Linked DNA regions of Callithrix jacchus. The protein of the gene in region 3 interacts with the protein of the main gene of each other region in a pairwise test. Links are inferred from orthologs where the notes say so. Each region holds a gene or a part of one and is shown on either strand. Other genes may lie near its edges.

Evidence for each region.
Region 1: the proteins of QRICH1 (region 3) and POGZ interact in binary tests that used the Homo sapiens proteins (3 or more experiments, as listed by UniProt). The two-hybrid records come from large-scale screens. The link is inferred for Callithrix jacchus from reciprocal best matches to the Homo sapiens genes QRICH1 and POGZ.
Region 2: the proteins of QRICH1 (region 3) and HSPB8 interact in binary tests that used the Homo sapiens proteins (3 or more experiments, as listed by UniProt). The two-hybrid records come from large-scale screens. The link is inferred for Callithrix jacchus from reciprocal best matches to the Homo sapiens genes QRICH1 and HSPB8.

Annotation. Positions count from the first base shown.
Region 1 is NC_133519.1:11,337,120-11,340,636, forward strand, and holds part of POGZ (pogo transposable element with ZNF domain), read right to left. Parts: intron 323-3,517; coding exon 147-322; intron 1-146. UniProt on the Homo sapiens protein: Plays a role in mitotic cell cycle progression and is involved in kinetochore assembly and mitotic sister chromatid cohesion.
Region 2 is NC_133510.1:122,299,923-122,303,439, reverse strand, and holds part of HSPB8 (heat shock protein beta-8), read right to left. Parts: intron 210-3,517; coding exon 50-209; 3' UTR 1-49. UniProt on the Homo sapiens protein: Involved in the chaperone-assisted selective autophagy (CASA), a crucial process for protein quality control, particularly in mechanical strained cells and tissues such as muscle. Displays temperature-dependent chaperone activity.
Region 3 is NC_133516.1:31,711,833-31,715,880, forward strand, and holds the start of QRICH1 (transcriptional regulator QRICH1), read right to left. Parts: upstream 2,802-4,048; 5' UTR 2,648-2,801; intron 1,879-2,647; exon of another isoform or gene 1,318-1,878; intron 1,210-1,317; 5' UTR 1,150-1,209; intron 1,027-1,149; exon of another isoform or gene 929-1,026; intron 1-928. UniProt on the Homo sapiens protein: Transcriptional regulator that acts as a mediator of the integrated stress response (ISR) through transcriptional control of protein homeostasis under conditions of ER stress.

The DNA.
Region 1 (3,517 bases), on a different chromosome or scaffold from region 3:
AATTACAGAACGGTAAATGAGAAAGTAAGGTCAAAAGACAAGACTTAGAACTACTACTAATGGTGCTAAAGACCCTAAGTCAGAGCTTTCAGAGGTTCATATTCTTTCTCTCCTCTAGAAACCTTGAAATTCAGAGTCCTACTCACCTGCGTAGTGATAAATATTGGTTGTGAAGCCACAGGGGAACTAGTCACATGATTGGCATTCTGCATGACCTGAACAGGTCTCAATACTGGTTGAGTAACCATTGTGCCCAGACCTGGGGCTGGATTCTGGGTCAGGATGAGCGGCTGTCCACCTTGCTGGACCAGAGGGTTGCCAGCTAAAAGGTTAAGCGGGGGGAAAAAAAAGGAACGTTAAAAACAATGAATGTTAAACCTACATTTTATTTTATTTATTTGAGACAGGATATCGCTCTGTCACCCAGGCTGGAGTGCAGTGGCACAGTCATGGGTCCCTGCAGCCTCAACTTCCTGGGCTTGAGCCATATTTCCACCTCAGCCTCCCAAGTACAAATCCACATTTTGTAAGAAACAGAAATGATGTCCCAGACGCCAAAATATCCAAGACTGACACTCACCATGTTTAATGTGACCAAACTCGCCAAAAATTTAAGCTTCACCCAAATCTACAACTAACAGAAAAACAGATGGGTAGGGGAGGTTCACTAACATTTCACCCATATGTCTTAACTGGGGATGAAAGACACATTAGAATTCTATGTGACTATCACCTTGACTCTCATGATTTAAGGTGACCACACATAATCTCCCCCACCAAATCAGCACAGAACAAAATATGTTAAGTCTTTTTCCATATTTTAACTAGGTAAAACCTATTTTATTAGAATATAATTTGTTAGCTAATCCCCCTTAATTCTTTAAAAACAATATTCATCAACAAACATTAATTCAGCAAGTACACAGAATCTGAAGAATGGTTTCTCTTCCTAGTAAGTTAAATCTGAGAAATGCAAGATTCTTTAAGCAACCACTGTCTTTTAGAAGGGGACCCAGAGACTGACAGGCTACCTACCACCTTTCTCTGCATGTCATCAGGGCTGATAAACAGAAGACCCAGACAAAAACTAACCCACACCAAGTAAAAATGACATGATTTCAGAAGATAATCATTCATTCATGAATAAAAATATGAATAAACAGGGCTATTACTGAAATATCTTCAACTCTTCATTTGTGAGAAAATAATTTCATAAATATTTTTAAGTCCCCTATTTCATGACATTTGGTGAAAACAAAAATCAACACTAAGTTTCCTGATATACAAAGAATACTCAAAACCAGATAGAGAATTTCAGAGAGCCAATATACCTAGGCGAAAGAGTCAAGCAGGCTAGGCACAGTGGCTCACACCTGTAATCCCAGCATTTGGGAGAGTGAGGCAGGTGAATCACTTGGGGCCAGGAGTTCAAGACCAGCCTGGCCAACATGACAAAACCCCGTCTCTGCTAAAAATACAAAAATTAGCTGAGCATGATGGTGCATACCTGTAATTCCAGCTACTTGGGAAGTTGAGGCAGAATTGCTTGAACCAGGGAGGTGGAGGTTGCAGTGAGCCAAGATTGTGCCACTGCACTCCAGCCCGGGAAACAGAGCAAGACTCTGTCTCAAAAAACAAAAAACCAAAGAGTTAAGCAAAATATTGTCTCAACTTTTTACCCAAAATCACCAGAATAGGACAGGCCCCTCTGAAATGTACATTCCACTTGGCAGGTCCATCACCACAGTTAACTACAAAGCTACACCACCAAAGGAATAGGTATGTAGGTGGCTACTAATGGGCCAGCAGTGGCTCATCTCACACTCTCTCAGAAACTGAGAGCTCATCAGTAGACTAGACCCTCAGTTACTGAGCCAGAAGACTAGTGATTGTAGAGGCAGCTAGACAAATAAAACAGAGAATTCCAGCAAGTTCTATCCATGTTAAATTATACTGGCAATGTATTGATGGTGGGTTTTTAAAATCTTTTAAATGCTTTATTATGGAGAAGTTAAAACATACAAAGAAACAGAACACTACGGTGAACCCCTCCCTATACACCACCCTGCTTCGTTAATTATTAACGCACGGCAAGTCTTAGTTCATCTATACCTCCTATACATGTACTAGTTCCCATATTACTTTAAAACGAGTTCTAGATCATATCATCTACAAATATTTCAAAATGTACCTCCTACATAAGGATTTCAAAAAAAGATAAAGAATCATACCAACATAACTCCCGAACATTTAATATCAAATACCCAGTCAAAATTCAAATTTACTTATTTGCATTTTTTAAAGCGTTTGTCTGAATCCAGTTACAAAATGTTGGCAAAGTGCAATGGATGAACAACACTCAAGTCTTTTAATCCACAGGTTCCCCAACCATCTCTTTCTATCCTTTTGAAATTTATAGTTGAAAAACATTGACTAAGCAGAAGTCTGGATTTTCTAGTCATTGTTTTAACTGCTAGGACAAAAGAAAATAAATTATCTCGTTTATCCTAATCCTAAAAAACATTTAGATAATTCCCGGCTATCATATCCAGTTTGGGAAGATAAAAAAAAAAAAGATAATTCCTGGCTCAACATCCCAATTAAATACAAGAAGGGAAAGATGGAGGTTTTTTGCATTTATGTGAAATCAATCAGCATTCCCAAGTCTCTTACAGACAGACCAGGTTTCCATGAAACCCATAAATACCATTATAAAAAATGTTAACAGCATTTTCTCCAAATATTTTCCCTTATATCAGGGTCAAGTCTAAATTCTGGTGGAATGTTAGAATTTTTCCAAAAATATGGGACAAAGAAAATAGTGGTTTTCAAAGACCAGATTAGATTCACGATTCAATGGAAAGCAAAAGCCAGACTATGGAAAGTCACACTGGGTAAATTATACCTGCTTATTTAGAAGCATTTTAAATAATTTCTGCAATCTTTTAAACCTTAGCTCAAAGGAATTCTGACAATTCAAGTGTCTTACAAGGTTCTCTTTCCAGAGGATGAAAAGGCAATTAGAATTCTGGTACTTTAAAAAAAAGCCTTTAAAAGGATTATCCAGCCTGGAGCAGTGGTAGGCACCAGTAGTCCCAGCTATTCAAGAGGCTGAAGCAGGAGGATCACTTGGGCCCAGGAGTTTGAGTCCAACCTGGGCAACACAGTGAGACCCCAACACAAAAACAAAACAAGGCTCACGTCTATAATATCAGCACTTTGGGAGGCTGAGGCAGGCGGATCACTTGAGGTTGAAACCAGCCTGGCCAACATGGTGAAAGCTCACCTCCACTAAAAATACAAAAGTTAGCTGGGCATGGTGGCACATGCCTGTAACCCCAGCTATTTGGGTGACTGAGGCACAACAATCATTCAAATCCAGGCAGCGGAGGCTGCAGTGAGCCAAGATCCTGCTACTGCACTCCAGCCTGGGCAGCAGTGTGAGAAAGACTCAAAATAAAAAACAAAAAACAGCCAGGTGTGGTGATGTGTGCCTGTAGTTCCAGCTACTTGGGGG
Region 2 (3,517 bases), on a different chromosome or scaffold from region 3:
AGAAGCTCTAGGGTTGGGGACAAAACAAGGATGGGCCAGTACTGGCATCTCAGGTACAGGTGACTTCCTGGCTGTCCTGGGGAAGCTCGTTGTTGAAACTGCTCTCTCCAAATGTTGAGTAAGGAGGGACCTGGGGAGCTTCGATGATCAGTAGACCCTCTGGGGAAAGTGAGGCAAATACTGTCACAGGATCCACCTCTGCAGGAAGCCTAGGAGAAACATGATTTTGTTCATTTATTACTGTTAATACAGCTTAAACATTATTTTATTCACTTGAAGGGAAATATTTTTGATAAAAGCTTAGCCTTTGGGGACATAAAATGCTGGGTTTGAATCCTGGCTCTACCCCTTTCTAGCTGTGTGGTCTTGGGAAGATCACTCAATTGCTCTGAGCTTGTTTCCTTGTCTGCAAAATTAGGATAATAATATTGAACTTGTAGAGTATTTGAACTTCAGAGTCACTGAGTATGCTTTGCAAATGGTAAAATGCTGTTTAAACAGTAGATCTTAACTTAAAAGAAAGCTGTGGCCCACATGTTTGGTCCCAGGTTGAAGTCTTCACGTTAATACCAACTACCAACCACAATTACTAGCAGAAATGGCATCACTACGACCCCTTTATAGACTGCAAGTAAGGTGTTATGCATAGCAGGCAATGCATTTTCATTTGACATGTGCTTGCTAGAAAGTGCTTCCCCACAGAATACATCAGTGGTGACGCAGGCACTAGGCACCTTGGCAGACAAAAGTGGCCAGGCTGGCTGCTTGTAGATTTTAGATGGCAACATACTCTATGGTATTAAAAACAAGCCTTGATTTTGGTCATGCCCTAAGTATCTCTGATATGGTTCAGCTGTGTCCCCACCCAGATATCATCTTAAATTGTAGCTCCCATCATTCTCCTGTGTTGTGGGAGGGATCCAATGAATTGAATTATGGGGTGGGGGCGTTTCCCCCATACTGTTCTCATGGTAGTGAATAAGTCTCACGAGATCTGATGGTTTTATAAGGGGAAACCCCTTTTGCTTGATTCTCATTTTCTCTCTTGTCTGCTGCCATGTAAGACATGCCTTTCACCTTCTGCCATGATTGTGAGGCCTCTCAGCCACATGAAACTGTGAGTCCATTAAACTTCTTTTTCTTTATAAATTACCCAGTCTCAGGTATGTCTTTATCAGCAGTGTGAAAATGAACTAATACAATCTCTTAGCAGATCATAATTATCTTGTTTTTAAAACTAAATTATAGATGACACCTAGTTGGAGTATTATAAGAGGGTGATTAAGAGGTAATAATTAATATGCCCATGCTGCAGATCACTAAACAGTCTGGGGGGAAATCAAATGACAAGCTCCACGGTGAGAAAGCATCAAAGATGGGATTTCCAAATCCAAATCTGGTCCAAGTTCTAATAAGGTATTTTTATGTTTCTTGGATTTCTTGGAGTGAATGAGACTATCAATAATTTGGTTTCTTCAACAAACTGTTAAAACTGTGAGGACATATTAGTGGTCTCATGAGGTTCCTTTTTTTTTTTTTAAATCATGAAATCCATGACCTGCTTTTCCATGTGCCAGCTATTTTGGCTGAATCATATCATTTTGGTGTTAAGAATAATCCCACCAGGAAGATTCCATTGCTATCCCCATTTCACAGACAAAGAAATTGAGGCTCAGAGAGGTGAACTAATTTGCCCAAGGTCACTCAGCTGGCAAATGGCAAATAGGAAATGGAATTGGAATCCTGGTCTCCAAACTCAGAGTATCTGACCGTGATGTTCTCCTGCCTCTCCCAGTTACCAGCCATTTGAAAAAAGGACTATGGCAGGAAGGCTCGGAAGTTCAATCAAAGCTTTTCACTGGTCCATGCTGATTCTGCATATTGTAAATACAACGGTCTTGATGAAAGAACCAAGGCATGAGGTAAGCCCATACCTGATCATGGGCAGGAGTACTTTCTGTAGGAGCTGGGGAGTTTTCCTTCCTTCCCTCCTTCCTTCCTTCCTTCCTTCCTTCCTTCCTTCCTTCCTTCCTTCCTTCCTTCCTTCCTTCCTTCCCTCCCTCCCTCCCTCCCTCCCTCCCTCCCTCCCTCCCTCCCTCCCTCCCTCCCTCCCTCCTTCCTTCTTTCCTTCCTTCCTTTTTTGTCTTTCTTTTCTTTTTTTCTTTCTCTCTTTATTTTCTTCCTCTTTCTCCTTCCTTCCCTCCCTCCCTCCCTTTCTTTCTGTTTCTTTCTTTCTTTCTCTCTCTCTCTATCTGTCTCTCTTTCTCCTTCCTTCCCTCTCTCCCTACCTTCCTTCCTTTCCTTTTTTTTTTTTTTTTTTCTGTGTACAGCAACCTGTAGCCACATGAGCTGTATCTACTCAGGAGATTCCTTGCCAAGTTGGAACCTTGGAGATGAACAACGGTGCTTCTGGGAAGCACATTTGGAAGAGAAAGAGGGAACTAGGAAGCTGCCAAGTCAAGATTTTGAAGCAGAGACAAGGTCAAAAGTTTAGATCTCCCTCCCAATGCCGGGAATGGGCTGACTGTTTAACCATGTGCACGCCAACCCAATGCACACCAGGTCACAAAACATGCTCTACACTGTCACACTGTACCTGGCCCAGAGCATGTGTTTTGCAGGCAGGCCAACCTGCATTCAAATTCTGACCCTTCCTGACTACACAACATGGGGCTGGTGATCTTGCCTCTCTGAAACTATTTCTTCGCAGAAAAAGGGGGGCAATAATAGTATCTACGTCTGAGTGGTGTGGGAATTATGGTGCAATCTTTGGCCTTACATGTTGGCATCTTGATAGCAAGATGCAGTTTCATACAAATTGCAGTGTCATTGAACCAGAGTATCAGGGCCCCAACGGATCTCCCTGATTGCCCACGACAATGCTCTCATATTACATATGGGGAAACTGAGGCTCAGAGAAACAGACATGTCCAAGGTCTCTCACCAGGTGACTTGTATGTTAAACCCACCTGGTGGAAAAGCAATTCCTCCTCAATTCTCTTTCAGTGCTCCTCCTTACATCTGAAGGAATGTCTTAGCCAAGTACTAATATGCCTTTAACGCCTTCAGCCTCTATCACTTGCTACCTTCCCCTTTTAATAATGAAAGAGCTGAGGCCCTTAGGCAGGCAACATTATCTGGTTAGAATTCAACCACATTTTGCTTTCACTGGATTTATTTCATGATTGCCTTCCTCAGTGAACATTTTAGTGATGAGAATTTAACTTTATCAAAAATGAGTTGATTTAAAAGAAAAAAAAAACCTTCGGTAAATCATGATACAGCAATGGAAGCATATGAAGCAAAAAATAGTGAAGACAGTATGTGAATGACAGTATTGCAAATGACTGTAATTTGGTTTCCCCTAACCAAATAGGAAGGTCATGGACTTTGAAAGTTGAGAGACCTGTGTTCAGGTCCCAATCTGCTCTTTTTTTTTTTTTTTTTAACAGCTTTATTGAGATATCATTGGGATATAAAATTGTATATATGTATATATGTGGTATACAAGTTGATG
Region 3 (4,048 bases):
GGCATGGTGGCGTGTGCCTGTAATCCCAGCTACTCAGGAGGCTGAGGCAGAATTGCCTGAACCCAGGAGGCGGAGGTTGCGGTGAGCCGAGATTGCGCCATTGCACTCCAGCCTGGTAACAAGAGCGGGGAAAAAAAAAAAAAAGAGAGAAATGGAGTCTCACTCTGTCACCCAGGCTGGAGTGTAGTGGCACAATCTCTGCTCACTGCAACCTCCATCTCCCAGGTTCGAGCCATTCCCCTGCCTCAGCCTCCCAAGTAGCTGGGATTACAGACACCCACCACCACACCTGGCTAATTTTTCATTTTCAGTAGAGACAGGATTTCACTATGTTGGCTAGGCTGGTCTTGAACTCCTGACCTCAAGTGATCCACCCTCCTGGGCTTCCCAAAATGCTGGGATTACAGGCATAAACCACCACACCCGGCTGAGAAACATTATTTTTAAACGCTAATTTCAAAGGAAGATCTCAAGCATAATAGTTAAAAACAAAGATAATTCAAAACAGACAGACCCAAAAAATGTATCAAAATTTGGCCGGGTGCAGTGGCTCACACTATAGTCCCAGCACTTTGGGAGGCCAAGGTGGGTGGATCAGGAGGTCAGGAGTTTGAGATCAGCCTGACCAACATGGTGAAACCCCATCTCTACCAAAAATACAAAAATTACCGGGTGTGATAACACGGGCCTGTAATTCCAGCCACTCAGGAGGCTGAGGCAGAAGAATCCCTTGAACCCAGGAGGCGGTGGTTGCAGTGAGCCAAGATCGCACCACTGCACTCCAGTCCTGGCTACAAAGTGAGACTGTCTCAAAAAATATATTAAGTATCAAAATGTTTAGTGTAAACTTTACAGCTTTTCTTTGAACCATTTAGGTCCTTTTAAAAGATGATTCCTTGCCATGCTTAAATCTGTGGGTTCCACTGACTTGCATCCTCAGAGGAGAAAAGTGCCCAAGTAGCAAACTGCGGCTGAATTCAAAGATGCTGTTCTCCCACATCTTCATTCTACAGCACTTAACAGTTTCTGGAAGACAGCACCCAGAATAATTGACAGGATTTGTAATGCTTCAGCATTACCAAAAAAAAAAAAAAAAAAAACAAAAAACTATGCACACATACTTCCAGCATATGAACAATTTTAACTCACCAGTCACCATGTTGCATGTATTTCTGTTGCTTGTCCTGAGTTCTTAAGACTTCTAATATTCTGAAGAAGATAGAACAAAAAAGTTCCTTCCATCCTCAGCCTCTTTTTATTAATAATTTTAACTTTGTTCTTAAAAAAAATACAGTACATTAGAAAGAACTACCCCACCATTATCAAATTTGATTGCTAAGTTTACTTCCTCTTAGCTTCCTTTTCCTTAAGCTTAATGGAGCAAGACTGTAAATCATAAACTAGCAGATGTTTTGTATTAGAAAAAAAAAAGTGCATAATTCTCTAGGACAAACCTAGAACTTCCTTGACACCAAAACACAGTGGTGGGGTGAAAAAAAAAAGAGCTGAAAAGGATTGAAATCCTAAACAAAAAGTGACTTTTACAGCGATACACAGTCAGATTTTAGAAATTTCTGCTGGAGAGTTCTAGAATTTCAAAAAAGGTAAAGCATTGATTCTCAGGTTGTTCAATTTTGTTCAAGGTAACTTTTTGGCTGAGGCAATGGTGGGCCCTTAGGATAACAGACTAAAGTAAGCCCCTCCCACCTACGGAAAAGAAAAGACTGCGTTTAAGGATTTAAAGTGGCATTTTAGAGAGTTCACAACGTCCACATAAGAGAATTCCCTTCCGGAGCGCAGAGGTGACGTGTAAGAACTGCGCTTCTGGACGTATTAGTTTCTAATGAAAGATATGCAGGTACCTGCCCGGCACAAAGCCCAGTACAAGGTGAGGAAACCCGAAGGGGCTCCTTGCCCTCTCAAGCCAACAGGGCTTGGTTTCTGAAGCAGAGAAGCACCCTACCCAAGCACCCACCCCGCACTTGGGCCTCAAGTAACAGCATTATTAGAGGAGAACAGGCGATCTCGCCCCCTTCACGGAAGAGCGGAGCCGCAAGCCAGATAGCAAAGCTAGTTTGTTTCTCTCCAGGCCTAGGCCACGGATGCCCGAAAACGTCACCAGACCAGAAAAGACCCAATCCTCAACCTTCCCCACGCAACGCGCCGCGGCCAGCCCTCCGCTCAGCAGAGGCCTCCTGCGCGCTCTCGAGGCAGCACCGCCACCCAACATCAGGGCGCGCGCACCAAACGGGGGGTCGTGGCGGGCGCGCGCCCTGGAAAGCCTGTCTTGCCCGCGGGCCAAAGCTCAGAGAGCAGAGATATCCGGGCGGGGAACGCGCACGTCGGCGGCCACGCGCACCGAGAGAGCCGCACAGCGCGCGCGCTCCCGCGCGTAAAAACAGGTTTAGACGCGCGCCCGCACCAGCGCGCGATGTCGCGCCGCGCCCACCCAAATCCCCGGCCCACCCCTCCCCCATTCGCAGGGCGGGGTACGCGAGCCCAGGGACGTTTTCAGCTCCGGAGCCGCCCCGAGCTCTCAAGGCCCAGCGGTAGCGGCCCGCCCGCCCCCGCCCGCCGTTGTGTGGGGTGGGCCCGCCGTCCCAGGCCCACAGCCTCGCCGCATCCTCGCCCACACTGGAGCCCTCACCCGGCGACGTCACCGCCGCCGCCGCCTCCGCTCTACCCGCTGGCCCCGCCGCACCGCCCGGGACCCCGGTTCTGCCGTCGTAGCTCCAAGACCGACAGGGTTTTCTCCTCACAGCTCCCTGGGCGCCATCTTACATTCAACCCTCACAGCCAATGGGAGCTGATTGTCCCTCTCGCGAGACTCGGGGCTTCGGATCCCGCGAGATCTGGAGCTGCCTCCCGGCCAGACTTAAAGTGAACGCTTCAGCAGGGGGAGACAGGCCGCGCCTCTGGCGGCTAGAGCGGATCTGAATCCCAGGGCGTGGAGCGACTCGCCCCGCCTCTGGACGCCCCACCGTTTGGGGCGGAGCTAGGGCGGGGGCTTAGCATGGTAGTGGAGCCTCCGAAGGCTAGGACTCGAAGCTGGCTCCTTGGACCCACCTTCTGTCGCCCGCCTGAGCCTCCTTTGGTCGAGCACCCCTACGCGGGGCGGGGCCCGGCCGGGCTCAGCCTCTCGCTTAAGGTGGACCCCGCAAACTTTTGTCCTGGGCTCGGCGTCCCCTGCCGTACCCCGCCTGGGAAGCCTCTAGAGCTCTTACCTTCTGAAGGACTCACCCTCTGGGACTCCTGCCAACTGCTGCCGTCTGAGTTCAGCCTTCCGCAGTCTGGGCCACCTTAAAGCGGGCCCCCTGGTAGCCTGGTGTTTGTATACAGGGAAAATGTGGAAGGCGTTAAAGCTGCAGGCACACGCAGGCCTCAGCAGCAGCCCACACAGCCCCCAGAGGGCTTCCAGCCTGCTGTAGACTCCTTTTGCCTCGGGGTTTTTGCCCTTTTTCCTCTTATCCTGGCCAACTCCCCATGGTCTTTTGTGATTCCCTTCAGAAGTCACTTCGTGAGAGTAGTCTTTTCCAGCCTTGGACAGGGCCCAGGGAGAGCTCTCCCATGCAGTGTTTGGTCACCCCTTTCTCCTCCAGTTAACTTGGAAGGCTATCACAGCATGTGTGCCACATCTCACTGTGCCTGGCATGTAGTAGGCACTAAAAAATTATATGCTGAATGGGCCGGGCGCGATGGCTGACGCCCGTAATTCCAACACTTTGGGAGCAAAGGCGGGTGGAACACCTGCGGTCAGGAGTTCGAGACCAGCCTGGCCAACGTGGTGAATGAAACTCCGTCTCTATTGAAAATACAATATTAGCTGAGTGTGGTTGTGCATGCCTGTGATCCCAGCTACTTGGGAGGCTGAGGCAGGAGAATCGCTTGAACCTGGGAGGTGGAGACTGCAGTGAGGCAAGATCGCGCCATTGCACTCCATCCTGGGCAACAAGGGCGAAACTGTCTCAAAAAAAAAAAAAATGCTGATTAGGTGCAGTGGCTTACCCCTGTAATCCTAGCACTTTGGGAGGCTGAGTGGGCGGATCAC